Linked DNA regions of Arabidopsis thaliana. The protein of the gene in region 2 interacts with the protein of the main gene of each other region in a pairwise test. Each region holds a gene or a part of one and is shown on either strand. Other genes may lie near its edges.

Region 1 (5,913 bases), on a different chromosome or scaffold from region 2:
TGAGAAATGTCTGGATAATTTTAGGAAGCTGTCTCCCCATATTGCAGAGTATGTTTATGCGCCAACAATCTATTGGAATTTGAGTACCTCTAAGTTGTTGACAATGGAGTTCATGGATGGTGCTCAAGTGAACGATGTTGATAAGATCAGAAAGCTTGGGATTCAGCCCTATGAAGTATCAAAGCTCGTAAGCTCTTTCATCTATGTTCCTTAAAATATCATGCATTTCTTGAATTTAGCTAAATAGTAGTTGCCGTTCAAGTAAGAGTTTGGTAATTTCAAAGACTTATCTTTATAATACCTTGTAGACTACTATGAAGAAACAAACTTTGATATGCTTTAAACTCTTTTCTTGCAGGTGAGTCAAACATTTGCAGAAATGATGTTTAAACATGGGTTTGTGCACTGTGACCCACACGCTGCCAATTTGATTGTTCGTCCAGATCCTTCTGGTAAGAGGAACATATATGGCAAGAGAAAACCGCAATTAGTGATTCTTGACCATGGCTTGTACAAGGAGCTTGACTTCAACACAAGATTCAACTATGCTTCACTGTGGAAAGCATTGGTCTTTTCGGATGCTAAAGCCATTAAAGAACACAGTGAGAAATTAGGCGCTGGAGATGATCTATACGTCCTATTCGCCGGGATACTTACAATGAGACCATGGAAGCAAGTCATCGACACATCTGTGGATCATTTAGTCATCCAAGGCAACAAAGAAGATGTATCAGAGCTACAGATGTATGCATCACAGTACTTCTCCGAAATCTCAGAGCTTCTCAGGAGATTGCCACGCGTGATCCTTCTGATGCTGAAAACAAACGACTGTCTCCGGTCAGTTAACAATGAGCTAATGCAAGGATCGTCTCTCGAGTCGTTCTTGATCATCGGGAAAGTATCTTCCCAAGCGGTTTTAGAGGCAAAGAGAGCTGAAAAGAAATCGTTGATGAAATGGCTGAAGGTATGGTTTGAAGGGTTCTCTGTTGAAGCAAGGCTTTGGGTAATGCAATTTGCACTTTGGATCTTACAAGTCAGAAAATCCTTAACCCTTTAATATAAAACGTTCCTGCCAATTTTATATTACACACCTCTCTCTATTCTTTGGTAAGTGGGTATCAAAAAATAACATTTATCATTCTTTGTATACTACACAAGGCTGTTATGTAACAAACCAATAAATCAACTTTATATATACTATGAGATTTGTATCATTTGTATGCTGGGAAGAGCTTATTACTTTAAATTTTTTTTTATATAAATCTTATTATCTTCTTAATAGTATTTCTTACAAAAACAATTGAGAATTTCTACTCATTTTTTTCCATCATTTATGAGAACCTTATGTAAACAGGTGTTGACATCTGAATCAAATTGAACCGAGATGGTTCGGTTTGGTTCGGTTTTGGGTTTGGTTAAATTGAGAAACCTGAATTATGCAGCGACCAAGATCTTATTCTCTGTTCTGTCTTTTCAACACTCGAGTCTGTCTGTCTGTCTCTTCTACGCAGCCGCGACTCCTTCTGTCTCCACCGCTCTATAATCTCCCCTGCGATCAATAAGGACATTTTCTCCGGTAAAGTCTCTATCTTTCTTCGTCTCTATCATTTCGCTTTGTGTTTCGTGTCACCTACATTTGATAAACCCTAGAGAGAAACAAATTGAGTGCCTTTCGAAATCGCAGAAGCACATTGTTAAAATTCGATTGATGGGTCATTGTTTTATTACACGTAATCTATTTCTGTTGATGAAATTAGGTCTATTAAAGATGTGATTTTGATATTTGGGGTCTCACAGCTTTTTTGAAAAAGCTTACACATTTTGTTTGAATTTGTCATTGTTGTTGTAGATGGAAGAGAGTGATGCTGTTCCAAAACCAGTTGTTGTTGATCCTCCATTATACGACGAAGCTTCTCCGTCAGCTTCTCAGCGCCGTCCGGTGGTGATCGCCGCCGATGCAGCTCCTCCGGCAGAAAATCATCTCATTCAAAGGATTCAAAGAGCTCTTGTGGAATTGCGCGAGTTGAGAAATCAGTTTAATGCCATTCTTAGGGAACTAGAATTCGAAGGTTTGTGTGTGTTTCATCTTCCTATTCTACGTTGTGTTTTCTAGAAAAAGAGATAAACAATTTTGATGATAATGCAGTGGGAGAAGAAGAAGAGCAAGCGGAATCATCAGTGGAAGATCCAGAGGACTCTGATTCTTAGTTTGTTTATTAGACTTTTTTTTTTTGTTTCTTCACTAGTAACCTATTTCTATCATGTTTCTATCTCTCTGCCCCTCATGATTTCCTGCGGTAATTATCTTTATCACTCTAAATCATCAAAGCCAACCCTTAACAGATCAATAAGTCTACTAAAAGAGAAATTACAAGTTTTTTTGAAGGAAGAATCAAACACATTCCACATAACATATAATATGCAGTTGTCTATCGTAAATGTTTTACCTTGACAATGGTTTTCGCAAGTAACGCATAATGGTCGAGAAACATTACATTTGCGACGAATTTGAACCTTATTCCCATATATCTCGAGAAGGTGACATTGCTTCATTTATGGGTATTCACCAAATAAGCATTCAATATGAATGGTAGTAATAAAGATTACCACTCGTACTTCTATGAACTTGGATTCAAGTTAGAGCCATTGTGAGTCCACTTCTGAATCTTTCCACTTACCAACCCATTTAGATGTTGCAGAATTACCATTTCTATTGGTTTTCCTATCTGCTTCTTTATCTTTGAGAAGCCAGCTTAAGTTTTAGCGCATTTAGCTCTTATTGCAAGATTGCATTGTGTCATAAAAGGTCGTTCTAAGTAAAATCTGGCACATGTTTTTCCAGTTAGTGGATTCATTTGTGAAACAGTTTGGAAAATGTTGCGGTTAAGAACTGTATTGCCAAAAATAAATTAAATGTTTTTCATCATTACTCATTGGTGACTGAAATGAATTGAGGTCCCTATACTCTTATTGCTTCTCAGCATCGAGTTGTTTGTGCATCACCATTGTCATGACTCATGATTTTTAGAATCATTTATGCAATTCATCATCTTAATCATTATCATTATAGGATGATTGTATCATATATAACAGTCGAAAGGGAAGGGCCAAAAAAAGTGAAATAAAGTTTTGTTCTTTGTAATGGAAGAAAAAGTTGGGAGGAGAATCATGGTTTCACTATGGTTCTTTGGAATTTTGATTTTGGTAGTTAGTGCCCAGGTTCCGGGAACCAAATTCTGATCATACTACAAAAAAATATCTTGCGGATTATTGTAGCTCTTGTCTTGCATAACATGAAGCTTGGAATTAACTAAAGAAAGTTTCTTAGAGATTCTTCTTCTTGTTTGTTCTCTAAAGAATCTAACACTCTTTGTAATGTTTATCTAAACTTGGAACTAATTAGATGTGAAACACTACAATTCATTAAACATGAGATCATGCGTATAGGAATTTGGTTCCTGCTGCACCGTGGCAAGTCGTACACCATATACCTTTTTCCCTATTTTATTCATATTTTACTTTATATTCACTTTACAATAAATATCTTTAGATATTTCTACAATAAGATCCTTATCTCTCTCCATGGTTTAATTAAAAATAAATCCAAGAAAAGTGCATAAAAAGATATGTACTTTTTATTCCTCTACCCAATCACTTCACAGCTTCACTCACGCGCGTGTTCTTTGATATCAGATAGATACGTCTACGTGAGATACACGCTCTTGTTAATCAAGTGGTGATGAAACAGAACTTACTCGCCTCGGTGTCCGATTCTACTCAGAAGATATTTACTATAAATATCTGATTTCTCTCGACTTTGACGAAAATCAAAAAGAGAGAAAAACACAATTAAAAATTATTATGAAGAGGAACGGCGAGACGAAACGGCGGAGGAACGTGGCGGAGGAGGCAGAGCAGGGAGAGGATCCGGCGATGTGGGAGAATCTTGACCGGAATTTCAGACAAGTGCAATCAGTTTTAGACAGAAACAGATCACTGATTCAACAAGTCAACGACAATCACCAATCGAGAATGGCTGATAACATGTCGAAGAACGTTGCTTTGATTCAAGAACTCAACGGAAACATTTCCAAGGTTGTTAACATGTATTCTGATCTCAATACTAGTTTCTCGTCGGGCTTTCACGGTGGGAAGAACGGTCACGATGGTGGTGGTGCTGCCGGAACTAGAGCTTAATGAACCGGAATCAAATTGTTTCTTCTTAGTTGGACCGGCCGGTTTGAGAATTTTGAATCTGTCCGGTTCAAGCTATGATATAAAGTAAATGTTTAGTTTTTGTATTGCAATGATGATTGTCGTTAGAATAATCCGTGGGAGCAAACCCATCTCTATTGGGGTTATTTTAGTTATGGTTTTGAGTCTTTTTCAATGTGTCTCTACTGCAATCTCTCTAATGATTATAATAATAATTGATACAGTATTAGATTACTTCTGGTTTGATTCTATTTAGAGACTTTTCTCATGTGACCTTGATAATAAATGAAGGCTTGTGGTTAGATTGTTGCAACTTGGAGTAAGTAATTTCGTCACATAGTGATGCAATTTGGTATGACATGTTAAATACAGTTGTTTTCTAGTGACTTTTCACTAGGCTGTGTATTAGAGAACTCTAGCATAGAAAATTTCTACGTTGTGACAATATTCATTTCCATCAAAAAGCAAACAGAAACTGCAGTAAAATAAATGTTGATACATGAGATCATGATCTAAAACCCAGGCAAACTATTTCGGCATTCATATACCACTAGAAAGCAAAGATCTTAAGAAGACGAAAGAGCTTTTGCACAAAAAGGACTAAAAAGAAGCATAGTTATTTGAAAGGGGACAAATGGCCAATTTCATATCAAAACATGAACTATCAAACCTATAAGTTTTTTTTGGGATTAAAATGGCATATGAAGAGGTTTAAAGTGATTAGCTCTGCTGTGACTGAGTAAATTTATGATTTCACTACTTTTTCTTGTAAACTTCTTGTACCTTATATTCTCAGTCATCATAAAATAGCAAATTCTTGCTCTCTTTGTGTGTGTAATATGGTATATATAAGGAAATTATGTACGATACTTTGTAACATTTGAATTTGATTTTTCTGTTGAGCATTAAGAATTTTGTTCTTCGTGAGAAAAAATATTTCATACAAAAACGATTCAAAACCATTACAAACTTACTTTGTCTAAGCAGGAAAAATAATTGATGGTCGAAAAGGATAAAAAAACAGAGGTCACATTAATATCAAACTAAACAATTGAAAGAAAACAACTACTTGGGCCTGATGGGGTTTGTCGGGCTCGCAAGAATCGACTGCTTGTTGGAGTTGATGTCATTAAGCAGTTTGCACTTGGCTTAATTTGGACTGTGGTGGACATAAGATGTGTTAGATTAGAAACATTACAACACTGATATGGTTGATGTTATTCTTGAATCATGACTCATGAGGATACATTTTCATTTATATTGTTTACTCTTTAATCTTTATATAGAAGAGGATACATTTTCATATCATTAGATGTAATTGACATATTAAAGATTGTGTGATTGTAAGGATTTTGAAGTAACTTATATTCCTTTTTTTAGGAAATACACCACATGATCAAATCTATCTTCAACGTTTTCGTGTCATAATACTTCATTTATGACAAAATTCTCTGTACCATTTTGACAACTACTGGCTTTGTCTTCTCCAAACACTTTGTTTTCAACATGATGGTGTTCATCAGTTATGTGATGGTGGTGACAATGACATTGTACATGCCCTTGACCATATAAATCGTAGGAGAAATATCTGTCCTTTTATATTATCTTGTCTTACTGGACCATTGAATTTTTTTGTCTCTTTCATCAGATTAAGTTATGTAAACCTTTTTTCTTCATAGAAGTTCTTATATGAGCTTT
Region 2 (7,360 bases):
CAGAGGATGTCAATAAAATGGTCTCTGAAAGAGGATACATTGTGAAACGAGCACCGCAGATAGAAGTACTTGGACATCCTGCAGTGGGAGGCTTCTGGAGCCACTGTGGATGGAACTCAATACTCGAGAGCATTGGAGAAGGAGTTCCAATGATTTGCAAGCCCTTTCATGGCGAGCAAAAGTTGAATGCAATGTATATAGAAAGTGTTTGGAGAATAGGGTTTCAGGTGGAAGGTAAAGTGGATAGAGGAGAGGTTGAGAGAGCTGTGAAGAGGTTGATCGTGGATGACGAAGGTGCGGGGATGCGAGAGAGAGCCCTTGTTCTGAAAGAGAAGATCAAAGCCTCTGTCAGTAGTGGAGGCGCCTCATACAACGCATTGGAAGATATTGTCAATTACTTGAAGACAAAGCAAAGATGTTGAACTTCATGTAATATTAATTGAATTGTTGCAAAATTTGCAAAGTGTGGTTTCTTTTGTATCACTCTTGGCAGTTTGCTCAATATAGAATTGTTGCATCACAATAAACATCTTTTCTTTTGTCTTTGATTACTACTCTCTCTAACAAAATAAAGAGATGTAACTACTTGCGTACACCATCGACCACATGCTTCACATGTGCGCAAAGAGAGCTAACAAAACATTATACGGATGAATTAGTGTCCACAAGCGAGAATCTGATATTTATATATATAAAACGTTCAAAGAAGATGAGAAGCAGAGTAATCTATAAGCCCGGAGCTTAGAGAGCTACTTATTAGTTTTCTTGTAGGTTTTGGAAATGGAGGAAAAGCAGGTTTCTTAGTAACAGTAGCTTCCGCCCTATAAACAAGTAGAAAACATATGTATCAACTACATTGTGAAAAGGGCTCCACAGAAGGAAGTACTTGCTCATCCTGCAATAGGGGCGTTTTGGAGCCATAAAGGATGCAACTCGATACTAGAAAACATGATCAGCGAAGGAGTTCCGGTGATTTGCAGGCCATTTTCGGGTGAACGCAAGGTACTTGGAGTGTGTTTGGAAAATTGGGATTCAAGTGGAGGGTGATCTAGAAAGAGGAGCGGTCGAGAGAGCTGTGAAGAGGTTAACGGTTTTCGAAGAAGGAGAGGAAATGAGAAAGAGAGCCGTCACTTTGAAGGAGGAGCTGAGAGCCTCTGTTAGAGGTGGAGGTTCTTTACACAACTCGCTAAAGGAGTTTGAACACTTCATGATGACTCTATGAAGACAATTACTTGTGTGGATGTTAAGAAATCTATGTACTTTTCTATTCTAGAAGAATCTCGCTACTATTAAATAAGATAATCAAGGTCTGAAGATAAGGTTGTCACTGAATGTATGATGTGCAGAGAAACAATCATATATTAATGAAAATTATGAACATATATTGGAGATGAAAAGGTCTTGAAATTATTATCTAAATCTCAAAGTAGAACCCTAAGTGGCTGAAACCTATGTCAGCAAGAAACATTGGAAAGACTTTTGCTTTTGTTAAAATGTCACTTTCTTCCTTTTGTTGGACGTTCATTGGTATGTGGCTCTCCAATCACTCGTAAGGTCATCATATGAGGAATACTTGATTGTATTAAAATGGCTTCTTCTGAAACATTTGATTGGTTTATAAATTTTTAAAATAAAGTTTGTGTCTGACGCCATCTCTCACAGAAATAAACAATTCACTCTCTTGATTACCACTTTAAGAAGTCTGCAGACAAATAAAACAAAGGGACTTACCTCTTACAAGATAGAAAAATGAGTATATGAAATTTGTCTGCAGTCTTCTCTTGGTTTAGCTTCTACATGATACTTTGTATGATCCTCTCCTGAACAGATGCAATTTGGGACTTTGCGGTGGAAAACTCCGCAAAAGATAAGAAATTTTGTAGACACCAAGAACCTGTAACAACAATCAAATATGATCAAGACCTGCAAAAGATGCAGAACCCAAACATAAAAGAGAAACTGCTCATTCTACCTAAAAGCTTGCACAGGTAATATCTTGTCTAGATCAAAAAACATCACAAGACTTTCCCAATGAGGAAACCAAAACCAAAATAACATGACACTATCACTTCTGCAAAAAGAGTACACAAGAAAATGTCGAGCCACATGACACATATGCTCTCTTGGATTTGACATAACTCACAGTGTTAGTTACCTAGTCCCGAAGAGAAAATTAAACACATGGTTTTCAAAACCACCATATAATTCCGAAGATGAATCAAACATGATCTGGATTACATTAAGTCTCAAGTCACATGAGAGCAATTTTGATACTTAATTCTCAATAACATTTCAACATAGCACAAGAATCTCAAAATCAAATTCAACTTAGTTGATTATATTAACTCTGTCAACATCACCAAACAAGTGATTATTAAGACTTTATTGTATACCATTTATAGTAAAAGACAGAAACTTGATGAAAATTTCGATCAAATCGAGTAAGAATTATAACTGTACTGTACTTAAAAAAACAGAAACTTGACAATAATTATCAGTTCCACGAGCAATAACAAGCTCACCTATCTCTTCCTCCCCCATTGAATCCATCTATAGACTCTTTTTAATTCTCATTTGCGCTTCCACCTCCAACAGAAGGATAAGAAGCCATGGATCCAAACTTATTCTGCTGCATCATATAAGGATTTGACTCAAACGCACCATTTCCACCAGCTCCATGATGATGACGATGATTCTGATGATAAGGATCATGATTATGATTTTGATGATGATATCCTTGCATACCCATATGATGTGCATAAACTGGCATCTGCATCATCTGTTGCGTTCCATACGCCCCCGGAATCGGCACTCCAACATTACCGCTGCTACCGCCACCGCCACCGATATCTTGGAAGCTCTGTGGAGGAACAGGTGTTGAAGAGAAGAGCTTATCCGAAGCAGAGGGACCTTCATTAGTCAATCCCTGCATCCTTTTGAGGTAAAGCCTATACTTTTGAAGATGAGACGCAACGTTCTCACGAGTTAATCCTTCAACGTTCATCAGCTGCATAATCGTCTTCGGAACAGCGTTTTTGATCCCTAAGTGAGCTACAACGTCAACGAATCTCTTGTGTAGCTGCGGTGTCCACACTAAACGCGGTCGTTTAAGTGTTTTCCCAGATAGATCTTCAGTTCCTGAATCTCCTTCTTCCGCCGCCATCGCCGAATCCGGATCCACACCGCCACCGTCATCTCCATCACCGTTTGATGTCTTTTGCTTCTTCGAATCCGATCCAGGACTGCTAGATCCAACTCGATCTTCCTCCTCCACGTTATTATTCGACGACGAGGTATTTGGACCTGAAGATCCACCACGTAGCGACGAGAGCGTCGTCTCCGATGCACGATTCACATCCTGAATCGTACGGCTTCTCTCCGGTGTGATACTAAACGCCATCGCCAAATTCGGTGGAATCAGAGAGTAAGAAAGAGATGCTAGATCTTCGTCGCTTGGTAATCCCATCTCCCATTCAGAAACCCTATCTCCGTCGCCGGAAACATCGTAATCGCTCATTTGTACTTCCTCTCCCATTTCAAACTCTCTAATTTCTCGAAATTCAGTTAGAGATTGAGCTCTTCGAAGCTCAAAATCGATAAAAATTCAAATCTGAGATCGGAGAAGAAGAGAAGTTTGGTTTGTGAAGATGATGAGCAAACAATTTTTTTTTTTTTTTTTTTCAGAAGTGAAACAATTTCGAAAAAGAGAAGATTATCACTTGTTTTATATTTTTCTTTTCCAGGAAAAAGCGCAATATTTTAATTCCAACGTGGACGAGTTAGCTAGATATTTTAGATCTTCTAAATATCTTTTCAAACCGACCTAACCAATCTCTTTTCAACACGTCATCAGTTCACATTATGTATCAATAGTTACGATCTAGGTGATTGAAATTGAAATTACCAAACTAGGCACGTAAGATGGAGCCACGTGGAGTGAAAAGAGCCAAGTCAGCTATTTGTGAGGGTTTTTCAGTAAATTACTACCGACTTAGCAAGTTGTGTTTGCGGGCCTAGAGAGAAAGTGGGCAAAACCGGTGGGTTCGGCCAGCTGGAGAGTGAAAAGAGGAGAAAGATTCGGTGATGAGTATCTACAGTACTGACACGCAATGTGATCTTTCCACCGTTGGATTGTTGTTTTAGATATTTATAGAAGCATATAAAGATCAATCTAACGGCACAGATTGGCTGGCACCTAACTTTTAAGAAAATGAAAATAATTATTGTGGAAAGGCTCAGAGAGGTTTAGTTACTCTGTTTAGCTTCTTCAACGTCACGGGTTCGATGCCCCAACTTCACAAACTGACGAAACGTTATCTTCTTCTCAAATTTCTGATTCTCTGAGATTTCCCCAATTTTTCATCTTCTTCGAGTGATTAGTACAGATTAGGGTTTTATTCGTTATTATTGTCTATATTACTCCTTGATTGTGGTCGATGACCTCGCTACTTCTTCTCAGAACGCTTCCGCTTCTCCGCAACGGATTTCTCAACCATCGTCATCAAGTTGGTATCGTAGCTGGTGGAATTCTCAGTCACCGTCGGCGTTTGTTGTGTTCTCTTGCTGATAGACCACAGTTTTACGAGAATAATGATTCTGTTTCTCCGGTGGAGGGATCCGGCGCGGCGGCGATGAACGTGACATCGCCTGTTGTTGATAATAGCTGGCGTTATGAAGATCCTGATTATCGGAAATGGAAGAATCTAGAGGCTGAGATTCTTCGAGATATTGAACCTATTTCTCTTCTCGCTAAAGAAATTCTTCATTCCGATAGGTAATTTCTTCAAATTCTTGCTGATTGTTCTTCAATAGCTGTTCCATGTTTGGATTAGTATTGAAGGTATAGGCTCATAGCTTCTTCCAGTAGCTTAATCAAACAACATAGAGACACCATATGGCCTTTTGAGGTGACTATTACACATGATGATATTCTTGGCTTATTGTTGAGGATCCTTTAGCAATGGATGATAGGATTATAGTGGTCATTGCAGAAAGTGAGAGATGCTCTTGTATATATCTTCAGTTTACTTGAACATTAGGCAAATTACAACTTTTTTCTAGTGAACTATTGACATTTGAAGCTAGCTTCAGAGCATACTTGCTGTTTTCTTTGTGTAGATTACTTTTTGCAGTTCTAGTGAGCTGTTTTTTTTTTCCTTTTTGGTAAGCAGGTATTTGGATGGAGAACGCTTAGATTTTGAGGATGAGAAAATTGTCATGGAAAAGCTTCTTCCTTATCACCCATATTCCAAAGACAAAATTGGTTGTGGTCTTGATTTTATAATGGTACGTAAATTCGAGCTAACCCGATATCTCTCTCTTTAAGCTCTACTCATATAGAAATTATCTTGAGGTATTGTGCATAGTTCTCGAATCACCATGATAGATATATGACTTACTTACATGCTCTATCCATAAATCTTCATTTGCTTTATGTGCATGGACTTATGAGTGTGCTACTTTGTTACTGGCAGGTTGATCGGCATCCACAATTCAGGCACTCAAGATGCCTCTTTGTTGTGAGAACAGATGGTGGATGGATAGATTTCTCGTACCAAAAGTGTCTTCGAGCCTATGTTCGAGATAAGTACCCGTCTCACGCTGAGAGGTTTATTCGTGAACATTTTAAGCGTGCTAGTAGCTAAAAATCTGTATAACTGTCCCACTCATCATCACAGCAAATTCTCATAAATTTTTAGCTGAAATAACACAATCAGCTATGAAGCTTTGTTGTACAAAATTTATAAATTGCTCAATCTATTGGAAGACTTGAATGAGTTAGGAAAATAGTAGTTGGTTCAGACTGCAGAACAATCAATTTTTGAGACCGAAAGTAATTCTAGTTATGGAATACAATATTTGCATGTTGTAAAATCTTTTTAGCTGAAACTTCGAACATCCTTTGCAAGTAAAAATATTGTCACTTCAAACTTTCGAAGTAGCTAGAGAATTTCCAAAGTCTAAACTGTCAGAGAGCAAAGCCCAAAATGAACAATCTCAAAAAGAAACCCAAACCAGTACGCTTTGTAATGTTTCCAAACGATGAGGATAAGAGAAGAATCTACCTTATTCCAACCCATAATTGACTCCATATATATAACTCATAAAGTCAAATGTTTTGGTTAACAAACTACAAGCATTTAGTTGACAAAATTAAAGTTGAACCAATAACCATTTAGTCCTTAAACAAACTAAAAAATATGTCAACATATGTTGATAATCAACATATACAAGAACACATTTACATCATTTCCAAAATTCAAAGATTTATATTATATATTTCACATCAATACAAATAGATCTTTTACCTTCTTTTTCTTTTCTAATTTGGGGTCAAATGGATCTTTTACCTTGTGAAACAAATTATTTACAAACAAACAAAATTATTTTGTACTCCAACTAAAGTATACTTACCCCACAAAACGACGACGTTTAGTAACTTTCAAAGAAAGAAACGAAGGTAGGTCCCACGCTGATTCTTCTGAAACTTCTTCGAAGGTAACAGTTTTCACATTTGGGTCAAATATCTCGCACACGTCAATGACGCTCTTCACTCCAAAGAGACCACCGTTAATAACTCCGTCATCATCTCCCCTAGTCAAAACTCAAAACACTGTCACGTGTTCTCACCGTCTAAAGTAACACCGTTAACACTCACCTACAAAAAACCACATTATATAAACAAATCTTTTTTCTCCTTTTTCCTTCTCTCATCAACTTCAGATCCTTTCACCAGCAACACAAGTTATTTTCAAAAGATGATGCCAAATTCTAGATCGGCGACAATAACTCCGACGACAGAATCAACCACCACAACAACAACAACAACAACGACTCTAACGACGTCGTATTGGTGTTACAGTTGTACACGATTCATCAGCGTTTGGGAAGATCAAGACGCAAACGCTGGAGTCTTATGTCCTTATTGCAACGGTGGATTCATCGAAGAGATTGAAGATTCTTCTAATTCCACCGTCGCGGCGATTCCGGCTTCGACTCCGGAAGTTAGATCGGTTGAGGAAACACATAGATCTATAATTAGACGTCGTAGATCTAATCGCCGGACGTCCTTTAATCCGGTAATCGTCTTACACGGCGGAGGAGGAGGAGGAGCCGGTGAGAGAGTTGAGAACGAAGAAGGTGACGGAGCTACTAGAGAACGACGAGCTTATGAGTTTTATTACGATGATGGATCTGGTTCAGGTCTAAGACCTCTTCCTGATTCTGTATCTGAGATCTTGATGGGATCTGGATTCGAACGGTTACTTGAACAATTGAGTCAGATCGAAGCGTCAGGTAACGGAATCGGTAGATCTGGGAATCCACCGGCGTCGAAATCAGCGATTGAATCTTTACCTAG

What was found. Proteins that work in one complex are often made in the same cells at the same time.
Region 1: the proteins of PCL1 (region 2) and ELF4 interact in a two-hybrid assay, tested with the Arabidopsis thaliana proteins (one study listed by BioGRID).

Annotation. Positions count from the first base shown.
Region 1 is NC_003071.7:16,732,829-16,738,741, reverse strand, and holds ELF4 (EARLY FLOWERING-like protein (DUF1313)), read left to right. Parts: upstream 1-3,829; 5' UTR 3,830-3,861; coding exon 3,862-4,197; 3' UTR 4,198-4,448; downstream 4,449-5,913. Other genes in the region: ATH9 (ABC2 homolog 9), read left to right, coding at 1-187, 359-1,057; AT2G40085 (uncharacterized protein), read left to right, coding at 1,850-2,069, 2,147-2,208. UniProt on the Arabidopsis thaliana protein: Component of the central CCA1/LHY-TOC1 feedback loop in the circadian clock that promotes clock accuracy and is required for sustained rhythms in the absence of daily light/dark cycles.
Region 2 is NC_003074.8:17,179,423-17,186,782, reverse strand, and holds PCL1 (Homeodomain-like superfamily protein), read right to left. Parts: upstream 3,714-7,360; 5' UTR 3,536-3,713; coding exon 2,662-3,535; coding exon of another isoform or gene 2,564-2,661; exon of another isoform or gene 1,897-2,563; intron 1,895-1,896; coding exon 1,794-1,894; 3' UTR 1,732-1,793; exon of another isoform or gene 1,598-1,731; 3' UTR 1,429-1,597; downstream 1-1,428. Other genes in the region: AT3G46650 (UDP-Glycosyltransferase superfamily protein), read left to right, coding at 1-193, 1,003-1,222; AT3G46630 (DCL protein (DUF3223)), read left to right, coding at 4,437-4,774, 5,172-5,286, 5,475-5,645; RDUF1 (zinc finger (C3HC4-type RING finger) family protein), read left to right, coding at 6,759-7,360. UniProt on the Arabidopsis thaliana protein: Transcription factor that is essential for the generation of the circadian clock oscillation. Is necessary for activation of CCA1 and LHY expression.